Linked DNA regions of Canis lupus familiaris. The protein of the gene in region 1 interacts with the protein of each later gene in a pairwise test. Links are inferred from orthologs where the notes say so. Each region holds a gene or a part of one and is shown in the gene's direction. Other genes may lie near its edges.

Region 1 (5,479 bases):
CTGTAAAATGGATCTCTGCTTGCTGGGCTGACCTTCCTAGAACTTTCCAGGAATCCATCTACGAGAGATGATGAGAAAGGGCTTCAAGACAGGTAGGCAAGGAGCATTATCTCCAAGCTTGGTGTGCCTGCCTAACTGCGGGTTCATCCCCAGCTGCCTCTGCCCCGGGATTCTTCACTGTGCGCTTCCTGCCTCTCGGCTCTGCAGAAACCCTTCACCACAAGAGCTGCTACAAGGGACGGTTCCAGCTGCTTTATGTGGCCTGTGGGTAAGAAAGAGGTCTCTGGCTCCTCTGCCCTCACACCCAGAAATCCTGGCCCTCAGCCCCTCCTCAGTCAGCACCCAGATTCCCTGGCCCCACTACTCCCTCAGGACCTGAAAGTCTAAGTCTCAGCCCTCAGCCCTCACTTTTCTCTACTCAGGATGGTGCATCTTCTCAGCCCCGATCTCGGGGCCTGTGTGGCCCCCGGAGGACGCTTGGTGGTGGAATTGGCCCGGTGAGCCAGCCAGTGGGAGCGCAGGGCAGGGAATATCCAGCCCTGGGCTCACAGCCGGGGACCCCCTAACATACCCCTTCCTTGTTTCAGGTACCTGGTGGACTTGAGGCAGGAGCAGTTGCAGGGCTTTGCTGCCCGGGTTGGAGAGTTAGCTCAGGCGGCTGGATTCACGCCCCCACCCCAGGCCAGGCCCTCGGAGACCTTTGCGCGCTTCTGCAAAGCCTTGGACTCTGCTGGCCAGCACACTGACTCAGCTTCGGAATCCATGACTCCGCCCCCTGACACCCTGGCTCCGGCCCTTGAGAACCAGAGTCAGCCTCTCAAAGGCGGGACCCCACCCTCTTAGCCCCTCAAACTGCGCTCAGAACCCCTCAAACTCCAGCTCTACTCCCCAAGGTTCTGGCTCCACCCACAGAGAGTCTGACCCCATTCCCAGATATCCAGTCCCCCATCTCTGACCTCTAAGGTCAGGTCCTGGAAGTAGAGCTTGCCTCTAGAATATTCACTCGGGTATACTCTCAATATTCTCCAACAGCTCCAGCGGTGTCCCTAGAATTTCAGATTACCTTCCTGGGATTCTATATTCTGTTCCTAGAATTCTAGAGTGTTCTTTCAGGGTTCCACATTCCATTCTTGAGACTCTAGAGATCCGGCCCTGAGTCTCAGGCCCTCTATGTGGTTTTCTTGTCCTCAGAGGTCCTATTTTACCTGAGGGTTGGGGGAATCTGCTTTCCAGGGCTGGTCCACACCCACATAGTCCAGATAAAAAGAGTGGTGTCCTCTTCTTCATGTGCCCTTGTGTCTTTGTCTTCACTTTTGTCTCCAGGGCTGGGACAGGGAAGGGGCTAGGGTGGTTAAGAGAGGAGACCTAGTTCCAAGTGGATTTCTCTGGGCTGTTATTGCCTGAGAGTCTGGACCATACCTGGATCGTCACATAAATCAACAAAATTTATTGAGTGGCTAACAGGTTTGGGACACAGAAACTGATCATAGCTCTCATGGAGATCACTGTTTAGTGTGGGGATGAGCCCCAGACTTCTGGGTCTGAAGAACCAAGGAGCTGGGGGCCTGAACTCCTGCATCTGAGGGAGGAAGGGCTGGGGGCCTGAACTCCTGTGTCTGCTGGAGGAGGGGAATGGGGGCCTGAACCCCTGCGTGTGAGGGAGGAGGGGCTGGGTTCCAGGCCTCCAAGGTGGAAGGGTGATCCAGCTGGAGCACAGCCCACCCCACCCCTCACGCGCCCCGGTTATCTCACATCCTGGGCAGGGGGAGGAGGTGGCAGCAGTATATTTAGTCTCAGTCCACGCCCCTTATCTCAGTGTCTTCAGTGAAGCTTGAGCAGTGCAGACAGACTGAAGCTCTGGGGGCCTTCAAGGTCATCCCGGATGCCCCCTCACTGACCTTCCAATCGCCCCTTGCCCTTCTTTGCCTCCTGCAAGCCTTGGCCTGAGTCTGCGCATGGCGGATGAGTGAGTGCATCTAGGGAACTCGGACCTGCAGGGCCCGAGGCGGTGGGACGTGGGCCTGTGAGGCCTGAGGAGGGAGGTGGGGACAGACTCCTGGCTATCGGCACGAAGAAAGGTTTGGGAACCAGACTCCCTGGAACCCGAGGACTGGGCAGCTGGTGGGCGGCCCCTGGGGTCCCTTAGACTGGACGGGACAGAGGCCCACCATTAACCCCCCCTTCCCGGTCTCTTCCTTCAGGAGCGGCGATGCGGTGAGAGGAGGCGCAGGCCGGGGTCCACGGCAGGGGAGGGAGCCGCAGGGTGGGCCCTGGGGCGGGAGGTGGCAGCTCCACCCGTAGAGGGGCGCTGGGGGGGCCCGCAGTGACGTGGCTCCATCCCCCCAACCCCAGGCGGGGTGCCCGCCCCCCGCTCCGGCCCCGATCCGACGCCAGTCTTCCGCCAACTACCGCGCGTACGCCACGGAGCCGCACGCCAAGGTGAGCGAGGGGCTGGCGGGGCTCGGTTCCCGGTCCGCAGAGGGGGCGGGACCCAGGGGTGGAGGGGCGGTGCCAGAGCCTTGGCTGGGGCGGGGCTTTGGCTGTGGGCGGAGCCTAGGAGGAAGCTGCGCCCTAGGGGCGGGGTTTTGCGGAGGGAGGGCTCGGATTGGTGTGGCCTGCCTATGGGCGGAGTTCGTTGCCCATGGGAACTGCCTAAGCAGTCAGGGGGTCAGGGTTGGTGGATGGGGCTGAGGGGCTCAGCTTCAGCGGGAAGCGAGTCCAAATCTGGAACCTACCCATGCCCCCGACCATCTGTCTCCTACTCCCCGCCCTGATTATTCCTTGCTCCATGTCACCCCGGCAGAAAAAGTCCAAGATCTCCGCCTCGAGGAAACTGCAGCTGAAGGTGCTGGTGGGCCTGGAGGGGGCGCCTAGGTGTCCTCAGGGGGTGGAGCTGGAGGGTCGGGTGCGGGAGGGGGTAGGACGAGGCCTCAGTGGGGAGTGAGCGTGGCTTGTGGTGAGCAGCACCCACCCTCTCCCCGCCACGGGGGCGGAGCCTCGGATTGAAGGGGAGCGTCTCTGGAAAACCGCGGACCCTGCCTGGAACTGGGGGGCTGTCCTGGCCAGGGCGGCCTCCCCGGTGCGGATGCCGCGCAGCCCTCATCCGCCTCCCCGGGTGGGCTGCGGTCCCCGGCCTCGCCTCTGCAGACCCTGATGCTGCAGATCGCGAAGCAAGAGCTGGAGAGGGAGGCGGAGGAGCGGCGCGGAGAGAAAGGGCGCGCCCTGAGCACGCGGTGCCAGCCGCTGGAGTTAGCCGGGCTGGGCTTCGCGGAGCTGCAGGTACCGTTCTCATCAGGGACTCCTGCCCAGCTGGGGATCCGAGGTACCTAGTGACCGCTCCTGCATGGTTTGGACTCACCGGTCTAGTCACTGTCCCCTACCTCTGCTCTGGACCTTGTGATCCAGTCTGCTAATCCTTACCCTCAGGAGTTCAGAAATATGGCCTGCAGCTGCCTACAGTCTCAAAACCCAGAGATTAGGCTCTCCAGCCCCAATTCTGTCAGATTCTCAGGACTCCTGGCTCCCAGCACCCTTTATTCCAGCTGCCCCAGAGTCCTCTAGGACTAGATGTCCAGGCCCCCAGGGCCTCCTCCCTCAGACTCAGGAGTCAGAGTACCCCCGTCCCCCAACCACACATACCACATTCTTGACCAGGACTTGTGCCGACAACTCCACGCCCGAGTGGACAAAGTGGATGAAGAGAGATACGATGTGGAGGCGAAAGTCACCAAGAACATCACAGAGGTGGGGGGCCCTGGGCAGTCTTGGTCCCTTCGGGTAAAGTCTGGTGCCTGGGGTTGTGGTCTCAGTCCACGCCCTTGCAGCTGCTGTTGACTGCAGACACCAGGAGACCCAGGACAGCTGGGCCTGGCAGGGATGGGGCAGAAGAATGAGTATAAAGTGGTTAGGGAAGGCTGTTCCAGGCAGAGGGGACAATAGCACACAAAAGCCAGGAGTTGGGAACGCAGAAGCTGTATTCGTGGAAATGTGTAGCTGGAGCATCGGGTGTTGTTGATAGGTGAGCTCAGGCATGGGTCAGGAAATTGTGGGATGCATGCAGCAGCACCAGGAGGTGTCAAGTGTTTTTCAGAGAGGAGGCTGGGCCCGTCGGGAGGGCTTACAGTTACTGGATGAGGAGCCTGGATGAGACCTCCATAGGCCTGGAAAGAGAGCAGAGGGAAGTATAGGGTGGAAGAATGGGTCTGGTGGAGGTTTCTACCTTCCCTTATGGCTGCCCCCAGATAGCAGATCTGACCCAGAAGATCTTTGACCTTCGTGGCAAATTTAAGCGGCCCACCCTGCGGAGGGTGAGGATCTCTGCAGATGCCATGATGCAGGCGCTGCTGGGCACCAGGGCTAAGGAGTCCTTAGACCTGCGGGCCCACCTCAAGCAGGTGAAGAAGGAGGACACAGAGAAGGTGAGTGTGGCTAGAGCCAGGAAAGGGGGTGCTCAGAGGAGAGGGTGTGGGACATAACAGTCATTGGGCCTAAGCTCAGGGCAGATGCTACTTGGAGTTATGGGGAGAAGAATCTGGTAAGAGGTCCCCAATAGGAAGTATAGGAGGGGCATAGGAAGTGCAAGGGGAAGCCAGAAAGTAGAAGGGGAAGCCAGGAAGTGCATTAGGGAGAAAGGAAGTAGCAAGGCCAGAAGTGCATGAGGGAGATAGGATGTGCATGGGGGCAACTTTGATGGGATCGCCTGAGGGGATGAGAAGCCTTCCAGAAGCAGATCTCAAAATGGACATCCAAAGCAGAGTGGCCCAGCGGGCCAAAGATTGGGGGGAGGCTATTTGAGAGAGTGTAGATGGGAGAGAAGCCCTCACTCCTGGCCCCATTCCTCCAGGAAAACCGGGAGGTGGGAGACTGGCGTAAGAACATCGATGCGCTGAGTGGAATGGAGGGCCGCAAGAAAAAGTTTGAAGGCTGAGCTGGCTGCCCCCTGCCCTGGCCCTGAAGGTGTCCTTGAGGAATAAAGTTTCTCTCTGAGCTAGAAATGGCTGCAAGTCTGCTACCTGGGGGTCCGGTGTGAGGGAGATGAGAAGACTGAGGGGAGAGTCCCCCAAAGCCACACCACACAGCAGGAGCAGAGCTGGGTCTGCAGTAGGGGGCGTTCCCAGCTCTTATGCCTCACACGCAGGGTGTGCAGAGATGCCCAGACCGAGGTCCAAGGAGAGAGACATGCACACACACAGAGACAGCCAGAGACCCACAGAGAGGGAGAAAAGACAGAGATTCCTAGAAAGACCTGCAAAGAAAGGGGAAATGGAGAGGCCGATGTGCACAAAGCACATCAGAGACCACCAAACAAGGCAGAAATAGGGACTGAAAGAGGGACAATGCAGAGACATGGAGGAAGACACGGATGCAGAGCCAAAGAAAGACATAAATGAGGTCACACACATTCATATGCCAGTAGACAGATTCACAGAAATTGACAGATTCACCCCCAGAAATGCAGAGACAAAAATGCATGGGGAGA
Region 2 (5,329 bases), on another chromosome or scaffold:
AATTAATGAACAAATGGTTGTGGAGCGTTCCAAACTCTCTGCTTCAAAGAAATCATTGTGGTTCCAGGGCTCACATCCAAATTGGACTCCCCTAGTGTCGCTGCCCCTTGGCCCTCTGCCTGGCAGGGGGAGGCCTTATGTAGCCCGGCTTGGCTCCACTGAGCTTTTCTTGGGAATGTCTATAAATAGAGGAAGATGGCAGCCCAGCTGCCACTGTCTATCTGCCTTTCCTTGGAATCCAGCCTCCTTTCGCTGGCCCTGGGCTCTGCGCTCAGTTGCCTTAGTGCTCTTTCTGTTGACTTAGCTGCTGTCCACAGCCTCGGCTACCTCTCCAACACCCAGCCCAGACCCTGGGTGTTGGGCTCAGTATGGACTAGACTTGCTCTGCCCATCCCTTCACTCTCCAGATGGCCGGCCAAGCTGCTCCAGACTTCTTCACCGAGCTCTAGGAAAGGGCCTGCTGCCCCTTTACCCACCTAGAGAACCTGCCCCCAGTCCCCCTCTCCCTCAAAAAAAGTGAATCACAAACACCGTTTCCCTGGAGCAGGTAAACTCGAAAGATCTGCTTTCAATGTTTATTTATTAATTAAAAGATTGTATTTATTTATTCAGAGAGATACAGAGAGAGAGAGAGAGGCAGAGACATAGGCAGAGAGAGAAGTAGGCTCCCTGTGGGGAGCCCAATGTGGGACTCCATCCCTAGACTGGGATCATGCCCTGAGCCAAAGGCAGACACTCAGCTGCTGAGCCACCCAGGCATCCCTCAATGTTTATTTCTCTTCCAAATGCATACCCATCTCCTGGATCTGTAGATTTCTCCTTTGGACAGGTCCCCTCCTGGCTGTCCCAACTTCCCTTCAGGAATAATAAGAATCATTGACATGACTATAGACCTTTGTGATTTAACAAAGCTCCCCAGTAAAAAGGGAATAATAATAGCTTCTCCCCTATAGATGACGACTAGGTGAGATCACATGGTTAAAATGCTTAGCATGGAGTGTGAACCTAGAGGTTCAGTGACTGGCTGTCATTCTCTCCTCCTCCCCTCCCCTGCCCTCTAGCATGGTTCAGACAGGACATTCCACTTGCCAAGCACCAACCCTATAGAGCAGGCACAAGCTCGGCGACTTACACCTGGGCCCCATTTCTCATTGGTCTCTCTGTGAGGGCGGGTCATGACTGTCCCCATCTCCACCTCACAGAGAAGGAAACTGAAGCTCAGAAACTGAAGCTCAGAGTGGCATGTCACCTGCCTAAGAGTACACAGCTTGCAAAGAAAGTATTGGGTTTAAGACTTCAAGGCTCGTGCTCTTTCCTGTCTGCCATGCTGCTTCAACTTTTCTGGATTCTGATTATCCTCACCCATCTTGGAGCAAGCGTGTTTCTTGAGCAGGGGCTCCCTAAAGCAGTGGAGCAGGGCGGGTTCTTCTCCCAAGAATCTAGGACGTCAAGGCCTGCCACCTGCTCACAGGCTTAAATTTCTCTGCAAGGGCCCTTGGCTAAATTAGGTAATGGGCCAGGACTCTGGAATGGGGGTGGGGGAGGAAAGGAGGAGGTGCTCACTGACCCCAGGATCTGATTGGCCAGGGCAATTAGTCCTGGGGAGCAGAGAGGTGGGAGGAGAGGGTGCCCCTACAAATCCAAGGTGCTGGAGCAGGCCAGGGTATCTTTGGGTGGTGGAGTGCTGAGGAGGTGACTGACCTGAAGCAGGGGAGGCCCAGTGACTTGCAACCATGGTAAGGACAAGAAGGAACTTCATCCCTTTGCTTGCTGGAGCACTTCTGGACCTCTTCCAGGCCAGATCTGGGTGCTCTGTAGTTCAGTAATTGGACGTTTAAAGATGGAACATGTAGGCTCCTGGAGCCTAGATGTCTAGGAGGAAGCCTGGGAAGAAGGCCTTGGACTTCTCTAGGAAGGGGAGGGCTGGGTGCTCTGGGATTGCCAACTCCCTGCAGACCTAAGGCTTTGGCAGTGTTGGCCACGGAATTGTGAGGGGGGTGTTAGCTTGTCTCCCTCACGGTGGAGGTGGGGACCCTGAGGGCCAGAGTGAGTCACCTAGCAAGCCAGTGGCTGGGGTGAGCTAGCTGGAGGTCTTGCCAAATCATCCTACTGCCGGTGAGAGGAGTCCTCTAGAAGAAGGGAGGCCTACAGAGCTTCAAGCCAGCTAAGGTGCAGGATCCCAAGAGCTATGAGGGAGAGAAGGGGCAGAAGATGATAGACCAAGGTTAGAGACCCCAGCCTCCCAGAGAGGGAGGTCATTTCCCCTGAGGTCCCTCTCCCCACTTCAAGGGGTAACTAGACCCCACAGGACAGCTGCTGTTGCCCATGCCAGGCTAAAAATAGCCTGCCCTCCTGCATGGTCAAGGAGGAGGGAGGAGGGGAGGGTAAGGAGGAGGGCAGTGGCTAGCTGGCCGCCGAAGAAGGCCTTGGCCACCTCAGCCCCTCCTCCCCGCCAGCCTCAGTCCAAAGTCCCATAGCCAGATGGCTTGGCTTGGATGTGGCCAGATCGCCTCCCCCGAAATCTTATTTCCACCTCCACAAGGCCCCCATTATATTCTGTCCAGCATGATTATGATTTACTCCAATGGCTAAGTGATAAGAAGGGAGCTTAAAATCTCCATCTCCACAAGTTGTCGGAGGGAAGGGATGGGTGTCTGGGTCTTCTTGGCCTCAGTGTCCAGTGTCTGGCCTGACGCTTAGTTGGGGCTCAATGACTCTGCCTTGCATTATTGAGAACATTTACTGAGCCCCTATTATAGTACCAGGCTCTACTGGGAGCTGGGGGACACTGAAAAATGATGCTGGAATAGTGCTGGTACTTTACAAAACTCTTTGACGTCTCTGATCTTTTCATTCTTGAAAAGCAGCTGAGAAGAGCTAGAGTAGAATAAGTGACTTGCCCAAGGTTAGAAAGGGGGATTCCTGACTTGACATCTGATTAGCAGGTTTGGAGACCCTGGGCATAATCTGTTTCCTCCTTGTTCTTCAAAACTGGGGTTCAGGTGCTGCGGGAGCATGCAGAAGGTGTTGTTAGTTTGGAACTGTTCTTCTGGAAGACCAAAGGGCACTGACAGAAAGGGGTTGAAGAGAAGGGGGTTAAGGCAAGAATGAGCTCTGGGGCCACCCCTTCTGCTGGCTGACTCTGTGTCTCCTGCAGACGGACCAGCAGGCGGAGGCCCGGTCCTACCTCAGCGAGGAGATGATCGCTGGTGAGTGCGGGCCGGCGGGCGGGTGGCTGCGTGCTGGGCAGTGCTGGGGGCTGGGCAGGGTGGGAGGGAGGGTGTGAGGCTGACAGTCCAGCCAGGCCCACCTCGGTCCTCTGCCTCGCTCAGAGTTCAAGGCTGCCTTCGACATGTTCGACGCTGATGGTGGCGGGGACATTAGCGTCAAGGAGTTGGGCACGGTGATGAGGATGCTGGGCCAGACCCCCACCAAAGAGGAGCTGGACGCCATCATCGAGGAGGTGGACGAGGATGGTGAGCAGGTGGCCCTCCAGGGGCTGCGACTGCGGCGGGCGGGGTGGGCCCGCAGGGCTCAGGCTCACTCGCCACCTGCTCGCCTCAGGCAGCGGCACCATCGACTTCGAGGAGTTCTTGGTCATGATGGTGCGCCAGATGAAAGAGGATGCGAAGGGCAAGAGCGAGGAGGAGCTGGCCGAGTGTTTCCGCATCTTCGACAGGTGCACTGAGGGCTGGGGAGCCGAGAAGGCGCTGGGCTGGGCGAGTGCGCGGACCAGGCGGCGCGGGTGGGCGGTGTGGGGGTGTGGGGGGCGGCTCGCCCCCGCCTGTCCTGACACCCTGTCCCTTCGCCCCAAGGAACGCAGACGGCTACATCGATGCGGAGGAGCTGGCTGAAATCTTCAGGGCCTCCGGGGAGCACGTGACAGACGAGGAGATTGAGTCCCTGATGAAAGACGGCGACAAGAACAACGACGGCCGCATCGACTTCGACGGTGAGGGCGGGCGCGGGGCGCGGGGCGCGGGGCGCGGGGCGGGGCTCCCACGCGGCCGTCCGTGGCTTTGTCCGCAGGGCGGGAGCCCCGGCGGTGCGTGCGACTGACGCTTCCGCGCTCCATCCCCGCAGAGTTCCTGAAGATGATGGAAGGCGTGCAGTAAGAAGTCGCCCCCGCATCCGCCCCGACGCGCGTCCCTCGGGCGAGGGCGGGCCCGGCACCCCCGCCCCGCCCCGTCACGGCCTCAGCCCCAGGAGGGAGGCGCGGCCCCTGCGGGCTCTGTGTGCAGGGGAATAAAAGCAGACACTGCGAAGCGCGTAGCCTGAGTGAGGGTGTCAGGGCCCGCCTGGCTGGGCCGCCGTCCGGGGCACCACCCGAGCGCCTCGGGGCTCCAAGGAGCGGGCACCCGAGTTGCGGGACGCACCGAGGCGCGGGACCCCGGGCAGGTTCCCGGGCGCTGGCGCTGGGCGTGCACAGCTCGGCCGGCGGGGTTGCCGCGGCGCCTGGCGCTGGAGGAGGGAGGCCGGCGGTGGGGGTGCGGGTTGGCGCTTGGAGCTGTCGGGGTGAGGGTGCCGGGGATGGCGGGTAGGGTGAGGGCGCGGCAGGAGGCTGGAACCCGCGGGAGGCCGAGGTGAGGCCCCTTTCCTTCCCCGCCGTCGTTCCTTTCTGGAGCCTTTGGGTCTGGGGTGCAAGCTACCGGGCTGGCGATGGAGAAGCGGGTATCGTATCCATCCGTTCCAGGCAGCATTCACTCTTGGTTGACTTTTTCTACTTCGTCTGTTCTGAGCGTTTATAGGTGCTCCATACTGGAGATGGGAGAGGAGGGTAGGGGCACACAGCCGGGAAGGAGGTTCTGACGTCATCATCTCCACCCTGCATCCCTGCCTCCAGCTCCCGCCAATGCCAGTGTGCTCAACATGGGGCCATTAGCAAGATCTAGCTAAAAGAAATCTGACCTGGCTGCTCCCTTGTTGAAATACCCTCAGGGCTCCCCTTCGCTTCTAGAATCAAGTCCAAATTCCTTTCCCCTCCTACCCCTCTCAGGTTCCAGCCACACCGGGTAATCTATCCTTACTGCTCTGGACAGTGGAGGTGCACTTTGAAGCTTTTGGGCTTTTGCTCATGCTGGAATGCCCTTCCTCCTCTAATAAGCCTGGCAAATTTTTCAGCCCAGCTCAGATACCATCTTCTCCCTTGATCCCTCTGCCACTGGCTGTGCTCTGGCTTCTATAGCTCTTTGCACACAACTCAGTTCTAGCAGGCCTCAGGGCCAAGCTGACTCAGTGCAGCGGTGCTTTAGCTTTAGTGTCAGGCTGCCCGAGTTTGAATCCTCATTGCTGGGGACAGATCACCCAGTGCTTCAGTTTCCTTTACTCT

What was found.
Region 2: the proteins of TNNI3 (region 1) and TNNC2 interact in binary tests that used the Homo sapiens proteins (3 or more experiments, as listed by UniProt). The two-hybrid records come from large-scale screens. The link is inferred for Canis lupus familiaris from reciprocal best matches to the Homo sapiens genes TNNI3 and TNNC2.

What each region holds. Positions count from the first base shown.
Region 1 is NC_049222.1:103,239,450-103,244,928, forward strand, and holds TNNI3 (troponin I, cardiac muscle), read left to right. Parts: upstream 1-1,816; 5' UTR 1,817-1,955; coding exon 1,956-1,966; intron 1,967-2,201; coding exon 2,202-2,214; intron 2,215-2,352; coding exon 2,353-2,439; intron 2,440-2,803; coding exon 2,804-2,845; intron 2,846-3,147; coding exon 3,148-3,279; intron 3,280-3,654; coding exon 3,655-3,744; intron 3,745-3,878; exon of another isoform or gene 3,879-4,160; intron 4,161-4,241; coding exon 4,242-4,418; intron 4,419-4,843; coding exon 4,844-4,927; 3' UTR 4,928-4,990; downstream 4,991-5,479. Other genes in the region: DNAAF3 (dynein assembly factor 3, axonemal), read left to right, coding at 154-268, 423-497, 588-843. UniProt on the Homo sapiens protein: Troponin I is the inhibitory subunit of troponin, the thin filament regulatory complex which confers calcium-sensitivity to striated muscle actomyosin ATPase activity.
Region 2 is NC_049245.1:33,758,843-33,764,171, reverse strand, and holds TNNC2 (troponin C, skeletal muscle), read left to right. Parts: upstream 1-1,612; 5' UTR 1,613-1,733; coding exon 1,734-1,736; intron 1,737-3,157; coding exon 3,158-3,209; intron 3,210-3,332; coding exon 3,333-3,476; intron 3,477-3,564; coding exon 3,565-3,679; intron 3,680-3,815; coding exon 3,816-3,952; intron 3,953-4,083; coding exon 4,084-4,115; 3' UTR 4,116-4,272; downstream 4,273-5,329. UniProt on the Homo sapiens protein: Troponin is the central regulatory protein of striated muscle contraction. Tn consists of three components: Tn-I which is the inhibitor of actomyosin ATPase, Tn-T which contains the binding site for tropomyosin and Tn-C.